2 linked regions of the Drosophila melanogaster genome follow. The protein of the gene in region 1 binds, or shares a complex with, the protein of each later gene. Each region holds a gene or a part of one and is shown on either strand. Other genes may lie near its edges. A codon is read from its position in the direction of its gene.

The links.
Region 2: the proteins of Cenp-C (region 1) and cal1 are in contact, whole or in part, in a crystal structure (PDB 6XWV), measured with the Drosophila melanogaster proteins. Residues at the interface, in NP_731254.2 of Drosophila melanogaster: Glu1302 (codon at 1,363), Ala1304 (codon at 1,357), Val1306 (codon at 1,351), Ser1307 (codon at 1,348), Glu1311 (codon at 1,265), Ile1313 (codon at 1,259), Gln1316 (codon at 1,250), Val1317 (codon at 1,247), Asp1318 (codon at 1,244), Phe1324 (codon at 1,226), Asn1326 (codon at 1,220), Thr1327 (codon at 1,217), Lys1328 (codon at 1,214), Lys1330 (codon at 1,208); in NP_650597.2 of Drosophila melanogaster: Thr890 (codon at 1,328), Leu891 (codon at 1,325), Thr892 (codon at 1,322), Glu893 (codon at 1,319), Leu896 (codon at 1,310), Ile899 (codon at 1,301), Ile900 (codon at 1,298), Gly901 (codon at 1,295), Arg903 (codon at 1,289), Trp904 (codon at 1,286), Lys907 (codon at 1,277), Tyr908 (codon at 1,274), Tyr911 (codon at 1,265).

Annotation. Positions count from the first base shown.
Region 1 is NT_033777.3:8,562,214-8,569,785, reverse strand, and holds Cenp-C (centromeric protein-C), read right to left. Parts: upstream 5,682-7,572; 5' UTR 5,532-5,681; coding exon 5,530-5,531; intron 5,458-5,529; coding exon 4,950-5,457; intron 4,889-4,949; coding exon 3,554-4,888; intron 3,491-3,553; coding exon 2,056-3,490; intron 1,987-2,055; coding exon 1,348-1,986; intron 1,277-1,347; coding exon 1,134-1,276; intron 1,068-1,133; coding exon 959-1,067; intron 899-958; coding exon 834-898; 3' UTR 538-833; downstream 1-537. Other genes in the region: CG31460 (uncharacterized protein), read right to left, coding at 6,422-6,843, 6,900-6,903; mRpS18A (mitochondrial ribosomal protein S18A), read left to right, coding at 7,278-7,374, 7,471-7,572.
Region 2 is NT_033777.3:17,086,305-17,092,453, reverse strand, and holds cal1 (chromosome alignment defect 1), read right to left. Parts: upstream 4,175-6,149; 5' UTR 4,053-4,174; coding exon 3,972-4,052; intron 3,915-3,971; coding exon 1,056-3,914; 3' UTR 516-1,055; downstream 1-515. Other genes in the region: cher (cheerio), read left to right, coding at 1-167, 230-414; GckIII (germinal centre kinase III), read right to left, coding at 4,728-6,149.

The DNA.
Region 1 (7,572 bases):
GTCCAGCTGCCTAAGCGAGACCTGAAAAATTCCGATTCAATTGTCTGTGCACACTCGGCGAAAATATGTGAACCGAGAACATGTGCAAGCATGTGAATATAAAATATTTAGTTTTTTAGCTTCCCATTAACATATTTTAAACCAATCAAGTGAACTAAAGAATATATATAAGATTATCTATATATAAAATCGTTCTATTAATTCCTTTTATTTGCAAGGTATTTTCCGGGAAACTCGTAATAGAGTGCGGCGTGTGGGATGATCAAAGGGTTGACACTGCTGTAATGAATGTTAGATGGTGTTTTGTTAATTTTAAACGATGTTCCAAGTCCCGTGTGGGGATGCAGGCACTGGCACACCTGCCGGAAAAGTTTCTGTTGATTCAATTTTTGTTTTGTTTTTTTTTTTTTTACAAATTTATGTTTGTGTTCCTGCTGCGTGTGATTTGTGTGTGTGCTTTTTTAAAAATTGCCATACAAAGCAGACGTGCAGATTGTTTTGAAAGTTGCCTGCTTATTTGTTCTTTCTGGCGTTGTTACCCCTGTTTGCCATTTCGCTTTTGAAGTCTCCAATGCCATCAACATCACGGCGAGCGACTTGTGAATTTCAAAGAAAATGGAAATAAAATGAACTTGAAATTCTAAGCAGCTAGGATATGACCCGAAGTTATGGCGTGGGTCTATCACCTTTGCTACTTAAAATACATGAAAAAACTATGTCGGTCTTACATATTTTAACAAAACAACTCTTTATTATTTTTATTTTCTGTGGCGAAAACGTAAGAAATATAAATCGGCTCAATACTTATCCGTATATAAATTACAAAGCAATTACTAACTGCGTATACACATCAGCACACTGACTTTATCTATCGCATTTTGAATACTATACCTAGTGCCTAAGGAAGAAAAGAAACATTCAAATAATATATAATAAATATTATTCAGCAATATCTTACCCCTATCTATCTCGATCATGTCACCAACACGCAGAACAGAATGGACTTCCTTCTCTTCGCCCACGGCTAAGGTCTCCACATTAAATTCGCCAAATTGCACAAGGAGTTTCTAAAAGCAGAATAGGTTTTAAAATGATCTGCGAGTTGAATGGGAATAATCTTATATTTTACTTACAAGTGGATGGACTTTCGCTTGTTTCATGCTACGTTTTTGGTATGGCTTGAATCGCATATAACCCAGCATTGCTTTCTCCTTTGTATTGTAGAAAGCGTAGTCGATACCATCTACCTGACAGAAAATCAATTCGTTTGCAGAAGCTGGCAATGAAAAATAGCAATTATTAATAAATAAGCTATATGGATTCAATTTCTATAGATTTTACACTTACAGACACTGGCGTTTTCATCCGACATACTTGCACTGGGTGGTGCATCGCCGACGCCACGCAGCCACTGCATCAGTTTAGTGGAGGCTTCTTCCTGCTCGTCTCTCAGGGGAGTTGAAAATACGACGGGACCTAGCGCAGCTTCCGTATAAGGCGCCTGCTCGTCAGGAACGTCAGGCTCTTCCTGATCGCTTGTAAGTGGAGCAACCGAAGATATCATAGGCTCTGGCTCTGGTTCTGGCTCAGCCTCCGTATCAGTTTGGACACCTCCAACTGCCTTCTTTGGTCGTCCCCTTTTCTTGGGCACCTTCTCAGCCTCTGCTTGCACTTCAGTTTCTTCCCACGTCAAGGTACTCAGGCCAAGGGATTCGGAATGCGGTATGGCCCCTGGCAGCTTTTCAGAAATTCTTGGGGTACTGCTGCACAATGGTCCCCGGTTGTCGGGTAAGTTCTTCTCTACAGTAGGCTTTGGCTTTGTGGCACTGGCTTTCTTCGCCTTACTCAAATTTCCCTTTTTCGTCTTTGAGTTTTTGCTGCGAGGCTCTATGAAGCCACTCATAAAGTTAAACTTGCTAGGATCCATGGTGTGACACCAACTCATCTGAAGTGGAACTTGACCGCGCTTTGATCTCCGAATACCGGCTAAGGGAGCAGAAAATAATAGAGCATACATTTAATTTTATCAAAACATTTATTATTGAATATACTCACTAGTATTTAGTTCCTCAGCTTCCACCGGCATTTTGGCCAGCTTTAATTTGTCTACTTCAGACTTCCCTTTTTTTGATTTCGCCCTTGGTGCAGGTGCCAATGGTTTCTTGAACACCACATCCGCGCTTGATTCATCCGGGGGACGACTCTTTGACATGTTCTGACTACGCTGCAAAAACTCCAACGCCGCTCTACTCGTGCTGGGTACGTCGTCAGACAAAAGAGTCCTACTGGGAGATGGATTTCTGCTGGGAACATCATCTGAGTTTTGATCAATCGGAGGAGTGGGTGTGTTAACGCGAAGTGATTCCATAACGTCTGATGATTTCTCGGTACATTCTTCCCCTCGATTGCTTAGAGCTACGGATTTTTCTGTACCAACTGCATTCTGGCGGGGATTTGAGAGTTTCTGGGACTTAGATGAACGATTGGCTAACTTATCATTTTCTTTGCTTTTTGATGCGTTCTGGTGATTACGATTCTGTTTGTTACAGGACGAATTCCAATTTGGATCTGGACCTTCAATACATTCTAATGTATGTGATGCCATTTCATCCTTATCGCTCTTTCTTCTAGTGACATTTTTATTTTGAGATTCCTCTTTTCCGTATTCTTCATTGTAAATTGGTTCCTCGTCACTGTCATAGTCTTCGTTATTTTCGTACGAAGGTGCAATAATTTGTTCCTTATTGGACTTTTGTACACTCTGTTTGGAGTGCTGCAATTTTTTTCCACTTCTCCTCAGTATACTTGCTTGCCCATGGTCACTATCGTCGTACTCTGGTGGCTCTGGCGGTTCACAATATTCTACTGCGTTATGTGTATTTCGATCAACAAGATTGCCATTTTTCGTCGATCTCCTTGATTGCTCATTGTTGCGATTCTCTTCTTCAACATATTCGATAGGAGGTGGTACCAGTTCGTTCTCCATCGCCCTTCGTCCATTCTGAGTGGATTGTTGAAGTTCTTTGGCTGTGCAACGCGGCTGGCTTGGTCGCTCATCATGTTCTTCTTCCTGGCCCCCTTCGTACCCCGGTGGAGGTAAAACCAGGTCATTTTTATTGCTCTTTCGCCCACTTGTGCTTCTGCCCCGTGTATTTACAACGTACTCTGGAGGCGGGGGAGCAATCTCAATTGCATCACTATTTACACTATCATGGAAATCTGGTGGGGCTGCCATCACGACATTATCGAAATCAAATTTTCCGGAGCAGGGCAGATTTTGCAAAGATTGCGAATAGCGCAGTGAAACTGGAGGTGGCGGAACAATTTGGATGCTCTTGCTTAGTCTTGGCAATTTTACAGGTGATAATGAATCGTTATCTTCATGGTCCGAGCTACCCTTTGTGTACAGACAACGCTTGCCGTCCTTTGAAGATTTGCGTCGAGTCTCTAAAGTCTGGGAGAGACCCAAATAGTTTACCAATTCTGTTGTCTGCAAAACGGGGAAAAAAGGTTTTTTTTTTCCTTCGCAACATATAAGCGATCTTGAACTTACCATTGGAAGATCACGACGAGTAGATCGTGGTCGCCCTCGTCCCTGCGATCGATCATTGCTTTTAGTTCGAAGACTTTGTGTTTTTGGCGGAACCGGTATATAGTCTTCATTCGAATCATCCGAGGACTGTTGTTTTGGCAAACCTTCGGCCTCATCCATTAGATTTCTACGTAGCAGCTCCCTCTGAATCTCTTCTTCTAGGATAAGCTTCTCTGAACGATGGTTTCTGTGCCCATTTAAAGGATATATCTCGTTCAACGAGTTGCGCTTGCGCAAATCCAAAATCTCGTAGTTGCTCATCCGGGTTAGCTCGCGGGCAAACTGCTCGCCATTAATGGGGGCACTTGGAGCCTTATTCAGCGGTATAGCAGTCTTTCGCGGCTTTGACTTTTTGGCATTGACCGACTTGTGAAGGTTAAGCAAGCGCATAGAGCTCTCCTGAGATTCGATTGTAGCTCGAGCCCGATTACTACTGCGCAAACGCCGTTGCCGGGTTGTGTTCCCACCTGAAGGAGCTAGATTTAATGGCACAGTGCTGGGATGTTCGTCGCTTTCGTCGTCGGTCATTATGGCATCCATATTTTCTTCCACCCGCGGCAGTTGTGCAATGGATTTCTGGGGAGAGGCAGCGGCGGATCGCCTAGGAGAAGGCGCAATCGGTGGTGAAGATAACGCCGTAACTGGCGAAGTCGGAACAGATTTCATTGCGACAGCGTCCCTTCTTACACTACGATTCGAATTGGATGTGTTTATCACCACAATTGGGCTGATCGCGCTGCGCGACAGAGTCTGCACCAACTCTCCCAGATCCTGCGGCTGGGTTTCCGGCACTACGAACTCCGGTTGGGGCTCTGATTGCCAGGCTGGGTCGTGACTTTGTCGCTCTGGCGTGTCCGGGACCATTAACTCCTGATTGAACCGCTTTGCCTTAACTACTGGCATTTTGCTCGGTGTGTCATAGCGATGTGATGGCGATAGCAGCAGCTGGCCTGGAGCTGGGCCCTTTTCCATTGTGTAGGTACGTCGTAGGCCCGCAACGGATGGTGATGACGGAGTAGGGGGTCGCGAGTACGGTGCCCGTCCAGAATAGTCCAGCTGCAGTACATTCTTGTGAAAGGAACTCTGTCGCTCTTTGCAGATTTGTTCAATTTCAGCTGCAAGAATAGGGTTCCTGGCAGGTGAGGTCACCTTTGTCTGCAGCGGATTTTCCGGCTCTGGTTCTTGTGATAGTTCCATAGGTTTTTCCGCTGGTTTATCAGTTTCCACTCTTGTTGTATTTTTGGCAACTTCCTCTTTTTGTTTCTCTGTGCAAGGTGTGCTGCTTATTTCTGGTAACTAAAAGAGCATTGTTGTTAGTACAAGGATTAGGTATTTGTGGGACATGTATTTAACATACGAAGTTTACAGGACTTGATATGCTGCGGGTCAAGTTTACGGTCTCCTCAAACTCTGGAAGCAATTGGCGTCCACAGCTCCTGGACCGCCGGCGGATGGCATGTCGACGTAGTTTATCAGATCCGGGTACATTTCCACTGCGGCGCATGGAACGTCGGTTATTGGGCGACAATGTTGGCGATCGACGCGGAGGCACGTTCTCATTGGGGGCCTGGTCCACAGGCGGCTCATTGACTTTCTCGGTGGCGGCACTGTTTTTGCTGACCAACTCCCCAAGGGGCTGTACTTCTGGTAGTTTGGACTTGGGCTTAGCCTGAGACTTCTTGATCAGTGGAACCTCGAAATCAAGGTCAAAGTCAAGTTTGAAGTTTCCAAAGAGATTGTCATTCTGTGCCGGCTTATTTTCGGCAAGCTTGCGCATCATAAAGGCGGCGAAGCGCTCCTTGTCCTTCACTGGCTGGCTTAGGATGTCGTCCAGCTCCAGAGTGTCGTTGTTCTGGGGCTTCGACCTGAAAAACAGACGGGTGAGCTCGGAGTTTGTATGTTCTCTTGCCTATGGCATGCTCGCGGTGGCAACTTACATATTTGCAATTGAAACTTGAAAAAAGGATTCTTCACGAAGTTACATACACGACAACAATAAACTTAACTTATTTCGCTAAAACTCCACAAAATTTTAAACTACAAAAAAGACGCGACGCTATTCATTTGGCGTTGCCAGTAACGTCTGTAGGCGCGCCTAGGTGGGGTGTTGCCAGAGCGCTCGAATAGACTATCAGAAAAGAGCTATAAATATCTAAAAGTTTCTTTGATAATAATAAGACATCACCCTGTATAATTACAAATGCATGATGCAATCGTTTTTAAACAGTTATTGTTAAATACAGCTGAGTTTATTTCAAAAGTTTTTATTGAAAATATACTCGAAAGCGTTGACCAGCAGGCAACCATTATATGCAGTATTTCATTACTAAAATATACTAAACGCGTAAAACGCAAGCTGGTCACACTTTGCCGGCAATTTTTGTTGACAAAACAAATCCAAAATGTTTAAAGCAAACTAAACCGACTTTTCAGATTGATCTATTTGTTCGAATTCACTTTATAACAACTGGAAGCAGCTTTGAAAAGCAACCAAAAAGTGGAGCTATACATTTTCTGCGAGAAGGCATGCAATAGAGACGCTGTGAAAACGACTTTGCGTTCGAGGTTTTGATTCTGTTGGAAAAGGATTACGATATCCATATAACCAGAGATTGGAGTTTTTTAACTGAATTCATGAATTCCCAATAAGATCCCCTATTCCACAGCACCAATACTCAGTAGTATAAGGCTGGCCAACTGTAATAATGGAGCTTGGATAGCTTCAAAGTGACCGATTGACATGACTTTATAAGTTAGTTATTTATTAAAGGTTATTAAAGATTAGGTATTCGAATGTGTTAGTAATGAAATAAGAAGCAGACGAATGGTTCATTTGAACTTCTTTCCGCCCTTTCTCGTCGTAGGAGCATCCACGCTGGGCACCTGAACGGAGTAATACTTCGTGGAGATCCTGTTAAGGAAGTAGAGCCCCACCAGGGAAAAGAGAACACTGGTGGTGGCGCAGACACGATGCACGAGTCCCGCGGCGGCCACCGTGAGTGAGAGACAGAAAATAATCTCTGGTAGCAGCTTGGCCTGGAAGTCCTGGCCGAAAACAACCATCTCCGCGTTGGAGACGCACGTGAGGCTCAGGATGAACACCCAGGAGAAGAGGTATCCGCCCAAAAGGACCCTCAGCTGCGAGTCGTTAAACCATTCTGAGCAGAAACGCAGTGTGCCGAACAAAACAATGCTCAGGAGGCCCGAGATGATGGAGGATACCACGGTGCTCTTACTGCTCACTGAAGCGGCTGCAAAGGTTCAGAGTTTAGTTTTTGTTGGCCGTAATTTCCTTGCATTTGCTTACACATATTACTTTTTCTTCCAGCCGGCGTCTTTCTTATACGTGTAGTGAATTATCGAACTATCGAAACTGATATTTGATAATACAAGGGATATTCCAGTATGTAACGACTAAACAAAGTTTTATTCGTTAGGCAGGCATTTTTCTCTATTTTTTTTACGTATTTACATGAAAAATTCTCGAATGACAAATTTGTGCTTGCAATAAAAATAAAAACAGATATCGTTATTTAAATACTGACATCGATAATTTTTTTTGAGAAGTAATATTTAAATCAATTGATGTGGCAACGCTGCGGCTTTCGTGGTGAATGACATTTGTAGTAACAACATTACACTTGAGCACAATTTTAATAAATTGTAAATAAAAAACGCCTTCAACATGTCCTTTGTGTTGCAATTGGCCACCAGGACAGTACGAAGTACCATTGCTCAGGTGCGTGGCGTAGCCACCACAATGCCAAGGCAAATAAAAGAGAGTGAGTTACAGAGACCTCTGTGAAGTGTTTCATAACCCCTCAAATAAATGCACATCTTTAAAATTAATTCGAATTTCTGTTCAATGCCTGTTCCAGTTCATGAGAAGCAGGAGAACAGTGTAAAGATCTTCGAGGGCGTTAATGTGGAATCGCCGCGTGCTCACCTGATGCTTAAATCCGCCTGCCAGACCAAGTTTT
Region 2 (6,149 bases), 8.5 Mb from region 1:
GGTGATCGTGGAGACCGTGCAGAAGGTGGCCAAAGGAGGCAAGAACACGGGCGTCCATCTGCCCACCTTTAAGTCGGATGCCAGCAAGGTGGTGTCCAAGGGTATGGGCCTGAAGAAGGCCTACATTGGCAAGCAGAACCAGTTCAGCATCAGCGCCACCGATGCGGGTGAGTAATATTCATACCCATTTTAAACTTGATGTTATAATATATCCTGCTTTTGTTAAAAGGCAACAACATCCTGTACGTGGGCATGTACGGACCAAAGGGACCCTGCGAGGAGTTCCACGTGAAGCACGCTGGCCACAACAACTATAATGTGCAGTATCTGGTGCGCGATCGCGGCCAGTACGTGCTCCTAATCAAGTGGGGCGAGGAGCATATACCCGGCTCCCCATTCCAGATCGATGTGTAGGGCGCTATATAGCCGGCCAGGCATATGTGTACGTGTAGATATATGCTTCGCATGTGTATGTGTGTGGGCGCGCATGTTCCAGGGTCAAAAGTCGTGTGTTTCTTGTTTTCATCATAACGCTCTTTGTTTAATTTTAATTTCTTGATTTATCATCATATTTTAGGTAAGTTTTTGTTATTTGTACATACATGGAAGGAAGAAGCTTCTGTTTTTCGACGCGCCATTTTCACTCTTTAAATTGATCTTACGTTTTATTTGTTTTCTTGTGAATACATAAAATTAACAATTGCCGATATGAATTTTGATAGACTTCATGGAAACGAACTAAAGCACAACTTCGACACACAAGAATTACTATTGCAATGCGAATAAATCTCTTAAACAATTATTTAATACTTAAGCGAAAAATTTATGATGATTAAAATGATTATGACGTATTATGTTTTCTATTATCACTATCGATCATGTAATTTACGTGAAATAAATCAAAACACAAAAAAATGAACTAAATACAACTTTTCTTATATAATTTCTTTTGCAAGGACGTGTTTAACACCACCAAGAAATCCGTCATGTACAACCAAAACATGAACCTAATATATTTAAAAAATAGGTCTGAAATATGAAACCTAACTACTTAATTACTTGTCACCGGAATTATTCTCGAGTATGCTGTACACCGTTCCATATCGATTGATTTGCTCGAAGATGTCATCATCGCTTGCACTTGAGCCCGAGATGTTCCCGATGTTCTGCGCATCCTGCGGTGCACTGAGAGCTGCGGCGAGTTGGGGAGTCGGCTGATAGTAAACCGAGTGTCGGCTATCAAAGCTCCGACTGCCGATGTGGTACTTCAGGTACTTGCGGGCCCAACGTTCTCCAATAATCTTTCCGAGTCCCTGCTCGGTCAGTGTGAAGCTGGCGCCTTCCGGCGCGGAAGGGCTGTGCAGCAGAATGCCGCGCTTGGTGATCTTGATGGTCGCTGGAATCTCTTGTCGTTCACTTGCAGGCGGTTCGCAGCCAGTGGTAGATGTAACTACAGTGCAGTCAGGATCCCCGCCTGTGGGGCTGCCCATCTCTTCCAAACTGCTCGTTGGGGAGCTCGAGCTGTTCGTCGCTGTCTTCTCCTCCGTAGTGCTAACAGCGGCTGCCCTCTTGACTCCTCGTCTCTTGGGAAGCACGCGGTAGCAAGCCGTGTCGTTGGCCAGAGCTGTGGAGTTGCACGCTACGCTTTGATTGTTGAATACCGTCATTGATTTCTCTGCAGGTGATTGGGGCTGCTTATTAGATGGCTCCCTTTTCGTTTTTTTGCGCTTCTGTTGTTCCTCCTTGTAGGTGGCCTTCGACATAGCCAGGGCTATTTGCAGATCATCCTCCGAGTTTGATGCCCCATCACCACCTTGCTTTAAAATGCTTGCCGTAGTTGAACATTGTGGTTTAGGTTTTGCCAGTACTTCTGATGATACATCGGACTCCTCTTCCCTGACTTGCTCTAACTTCGAAGTCGAAGTCACAGAAGAAGTTGTTTTCGTTTTTTCTGACTTTTTCAATCTCGAAGTAGACGGTTTTCCGGTCGCACCTGTCTTTCTAACTGACTGCTTTTTTGCCTTAGCTGCAACTTGTTTTTCAGATAAGGTTTCAGTGCTGTTTTTTTCCAGGATTTCGTTGTTAGTAATAATACTCTTTGGAATTTCGGACTTTTTACCAGAAACCCTTTTCTGTTTGGTAGACTTTTCAACGGCAGTCTTAGTCGATGAGTTCTCCATGTGCATGAAATCCTTATTTCTGTCGTCGAAAGATTCTCTTCCAATACAATTATCCACTTTTTCCATAAGACTCGATGCCTTTTCGTCAGCTATAGGGATTGTTGATATCAGCTGCTGTAATTCATTTCCGTTGAGTGGTGAAGTTTCCCTAATACCCCTCTTAGGCGCTTTCTTTGCTGGAGATTCAAATGTTGCAGATGTACCACTTGATCCGTCAATAGATACGCTTTTCATATGAGCAACTGGAAGATACGTGGATTCAATTGGAGAGTTCGTTGCAGTCGGCCCTTCTTCTTGTATTTGTGCCAAACCATTGGGACGCGCTTCTTTTCTTATAGCCTTCTTCGCCGAGGAAGTAGGATGGGTAATCTTACCAGCGGCATTTGGAGTTGGAAATGTCATTCCTTTTTTTTTATCCGAACAGCATAGCAATCCTTTTTTAGCCAAGGCGTTATCTTCATCGGAAGACTCACTATCAAACATTTGCATATACTTTTCTTTCGATAAGACCAATTTGGAAACAGAGGTAGCTTTCGAACTCAGTGGCTTTTGTTCGTGACCTTTGGAGCATACCGGTTGATGACTAACTTTCCTGGCATCCATCGGTTGGTGCTTTTGCTTCCTAGTCTTTTCCTGTGTCTCCTGGGTCAAATGATTACTTCTGTTCTCCACCACCCACTCTTCGGTTGAGCTATTGGCAATGTGAATGACATTGGAGCATAGGCGGTCACTATTGCAGCAACTACACTCGTTCTCTGGCAGCCTTGGTCTCAAGTCCATTTCCATATCGAAGGTGTGTTGGCGGCGCATGGTGTGCATGGTTCGAGATGCCATCTGACGGTGGTGATACTCGCGTTGACCTCTGCCGTACGGGCAGGACTGGTAGACACTTCTAGACAGAGCGTAATGCCTCCGGCAGGAGTGGCAGTCGCAGCCGCCGAATGATGTATCCTCCTCGCTGCTGGATGCCGAGTCAAACATCCAGGAGTTTATGCGCCGCTTACGCAGATTCTTGCGTCTCATATGATGGCCGCTGGAGTAGACGCATTGCATCGGCGTAGACGCCAGATATGCAAGCTGGCGCTCCCTCTCACGTCGGCGAAGCAACACGGCCTGCATGTGGTGACGATGCTCCTGCTCGTCACCATAGGCGTACTTTGCCCGCAACTCGTCTCGTTTGTGAGAGTGTTTACGGTACATCTTAATGGTGGTCATGTTCTTGTTGGTCATGTGAGCATTGCGCCGACGACTCTGCTGGATGTAGCGAGCCGTGTCGATGGAGTGCATCGATTCGTCGCTTTCGTCTGAGATTGAGTTGTGGTGCGGTGGAAGGTACTTTGGTGGTGAGGCCTCCAGGTAGACGCTGTTGTGCCTTCGCATCCAGCGGCCCACATGGTGTTCGATCTGCTTTTCATCAAAAGTGTCCAGAATGCGATCCAGTCCCGCCTCCCGCCACTTGCGCTTGTGCTCCTCGACCACCGGCACCGTTTGATTAAGGATTTCCTCGATCTCCGCCTTTGCCTCGTTATCCTCATTGGCGCAAAGTATAAGTGTCAGTTCTGTAACGCTGGTGGCGTTGATATGGCCCATTTCAAGCTTTGCCTCGTCGGGCACATTGTCCTCCACAGCCTCCTTTGCCACGTCATCCAGGTCGGGGTCCTCGTCCTCGCCGTGGAACAAGTTGTCGAACTCGGCCACATCTATTTCCATGCCGTCTTCCAGGCTGGCAAAATCCTATAAAACAATATCGTCCATCAAGAAGAGACGCCACTTGGGTTTCTACGGACTCACCGCCATTTTACTGGACCAGGCCTTAGAGCGCTCGTAGACCATTGCCTCCAGTGTTTCCTCGTCCACCACCGCATTCGCCATGGTTATGTAGTTATCAGTTCACGGAATACTTGATTAAAATTTATAAAAACTAAAAGAAATCTTAAAACACAAAAATAAAGAGTCAACAAAAATGGCGTTGCCACTGGTGTTACCGTCTCCAAGGCGCCAAAAAATACACCAAAACGCGACTTAACTAAACACGTCCCATTTTTATTTATATAAAACAAATAGAAAACTTGGGTTCCTCATTTCCAATAAGGTCGTTTTGATGTTCTATTTGCACGGCTTTTTGATTATAATTATTATTTATTTAACGATATCCTGTTTATTCAATTTATTTATTTTTTTATTTACTGCATTTTTCGCTAGCGTCCAGCGTTGCCAGATCAAATGAATACTCGGAGTCACCAATGATGCCAAGTTCGCATTAGCGCGCCAAAATCGAATTGTTTATTTTTGTGGGGTTTTTATTTTGAAGTTATATATGTTTTACATTAGATTAATATTGCAGATAAACAAACGAATACATATTATATGCTTAAATAACTGTTCAATTGAAATACATGTACATCGCTCCCGGTCCTCTGTTGGCCACTAAATGTCGGAATATGTCTGCTCCAGCGTTTCAGTTTGTGTTGTCTCGGTGTCGTTAATAAAGTTGTGTATATATTAAAATAGGCTGCTTGGAATCGGAATTTGCTACGGCTTCGCCAGCTACTTGCGGTTGCGTATGGCGCGGTCCATGATCGTATTGATTCGCGTCTCCGAGTAACCAGGAACGAGCATGTGGATCAGCTCTTTCATAAATAGGTCGCTCACTCCCGGACTGGAACGTTCGGCCAGCTCGAACACAGACTTCAGGTCGCCGATGTCGCTGCCGACGCCTATGTTACGGCCGCCTGATCCTCCGCTTCCTGCAGATCCTCCGCCGGAGTACTTTCGCTGGATGTCGCTCAGCACGGGGAAGAGGAAGTTGTTCAGACAGGCGCTGTTCGTTTGGACTAGGCGTTGTCCCGCCCCAGAGTGCTTGACATGGCTGGCATGGTTGGTGGCCACATGCTCCTCGTGGCTGTGGTTGTTGCTACTGCTGCTGCAGCTGGCAACCAGCGCGGCGTTATTTGCATGGAATGATTCACGTTGGCTGCTGCGGCGCTGTTGCTGCTGCTCAGCCGTCGATGGAGTCGGAACCGACGACTGCAATGGCAGGCCCAAAGAGGCACGGCGATCCTCTACTTGATCCAGAGGGGCGGCGGATCGCGACTGGCGCAGCTCCGGCTTCGAGCTGGAACGCTTCTGCTGCAGCTCACTGGCCGACGACGAGCTTGTGACGCTGCTCGGCGGAGGAGCTGCGTTCAGCATGGTGGTGGTGGCATGCTTGTTGCTCAAGTTTCTGATGTTATTGTTGTTAATGTTGTTGTGGTTGTGGTTGTGGACGTGACTGTTCTGGGGGGGCAGGGCGGATGCAGAGGAGACACCTTCGTTGGCTGTAATGACCGATACGGAGGAAGCTGACGCCGCCACGGCGGACACAGAGGACGATAATGCATTTGCAGCAGGGGACGCTTGCACGCCACCACCGCCGGCTGGCGAGTGTGTGGTCTGCATCAGCTTCTGCATGGTTAGCTCGTGCTCCTGCAACTGGAAGCTGTTGACACCCGCCCGCGGAGCACTGTTGATATGCAGGCCCTTGACGGTCATGATCCAGGGCTCATCCTGGCTGCTGCCGCCCTGCTTGGCGTCCGAGTCCGAGTCAGAGTTCTCAGACTCCGTCTCACTTTCGTCGCCCTTGGAGACCTTCCACTTCTTGAAGCGGTCGATCAGGTCAATCAGATAGGCGTTCTTCTTGGCCTTCTTGATGAACGGGTACTTGAGCAGCTCCTTGGCCGTGGGCCTGTTCTCCGGGTCCTTGTTTAGGCAGGCCTCCACAAAGTCCTTAAAAGACTTGGTATAGCTGCCCGTCAGCTGGGGTGGATTGTTCTTGGGGATGAGGAAGAGCACGCGCATCGGATGCAGCTCCGAATTGGGCGGCTCACCCTTGGCCAGTTCGATAGCCGTGATGCCCAACGACCAGATGTCCGCCTTGGCATCGTACTGTGACTGCTTGATCACCTCGGGCGCCATCCAAAAGGGCGTGCC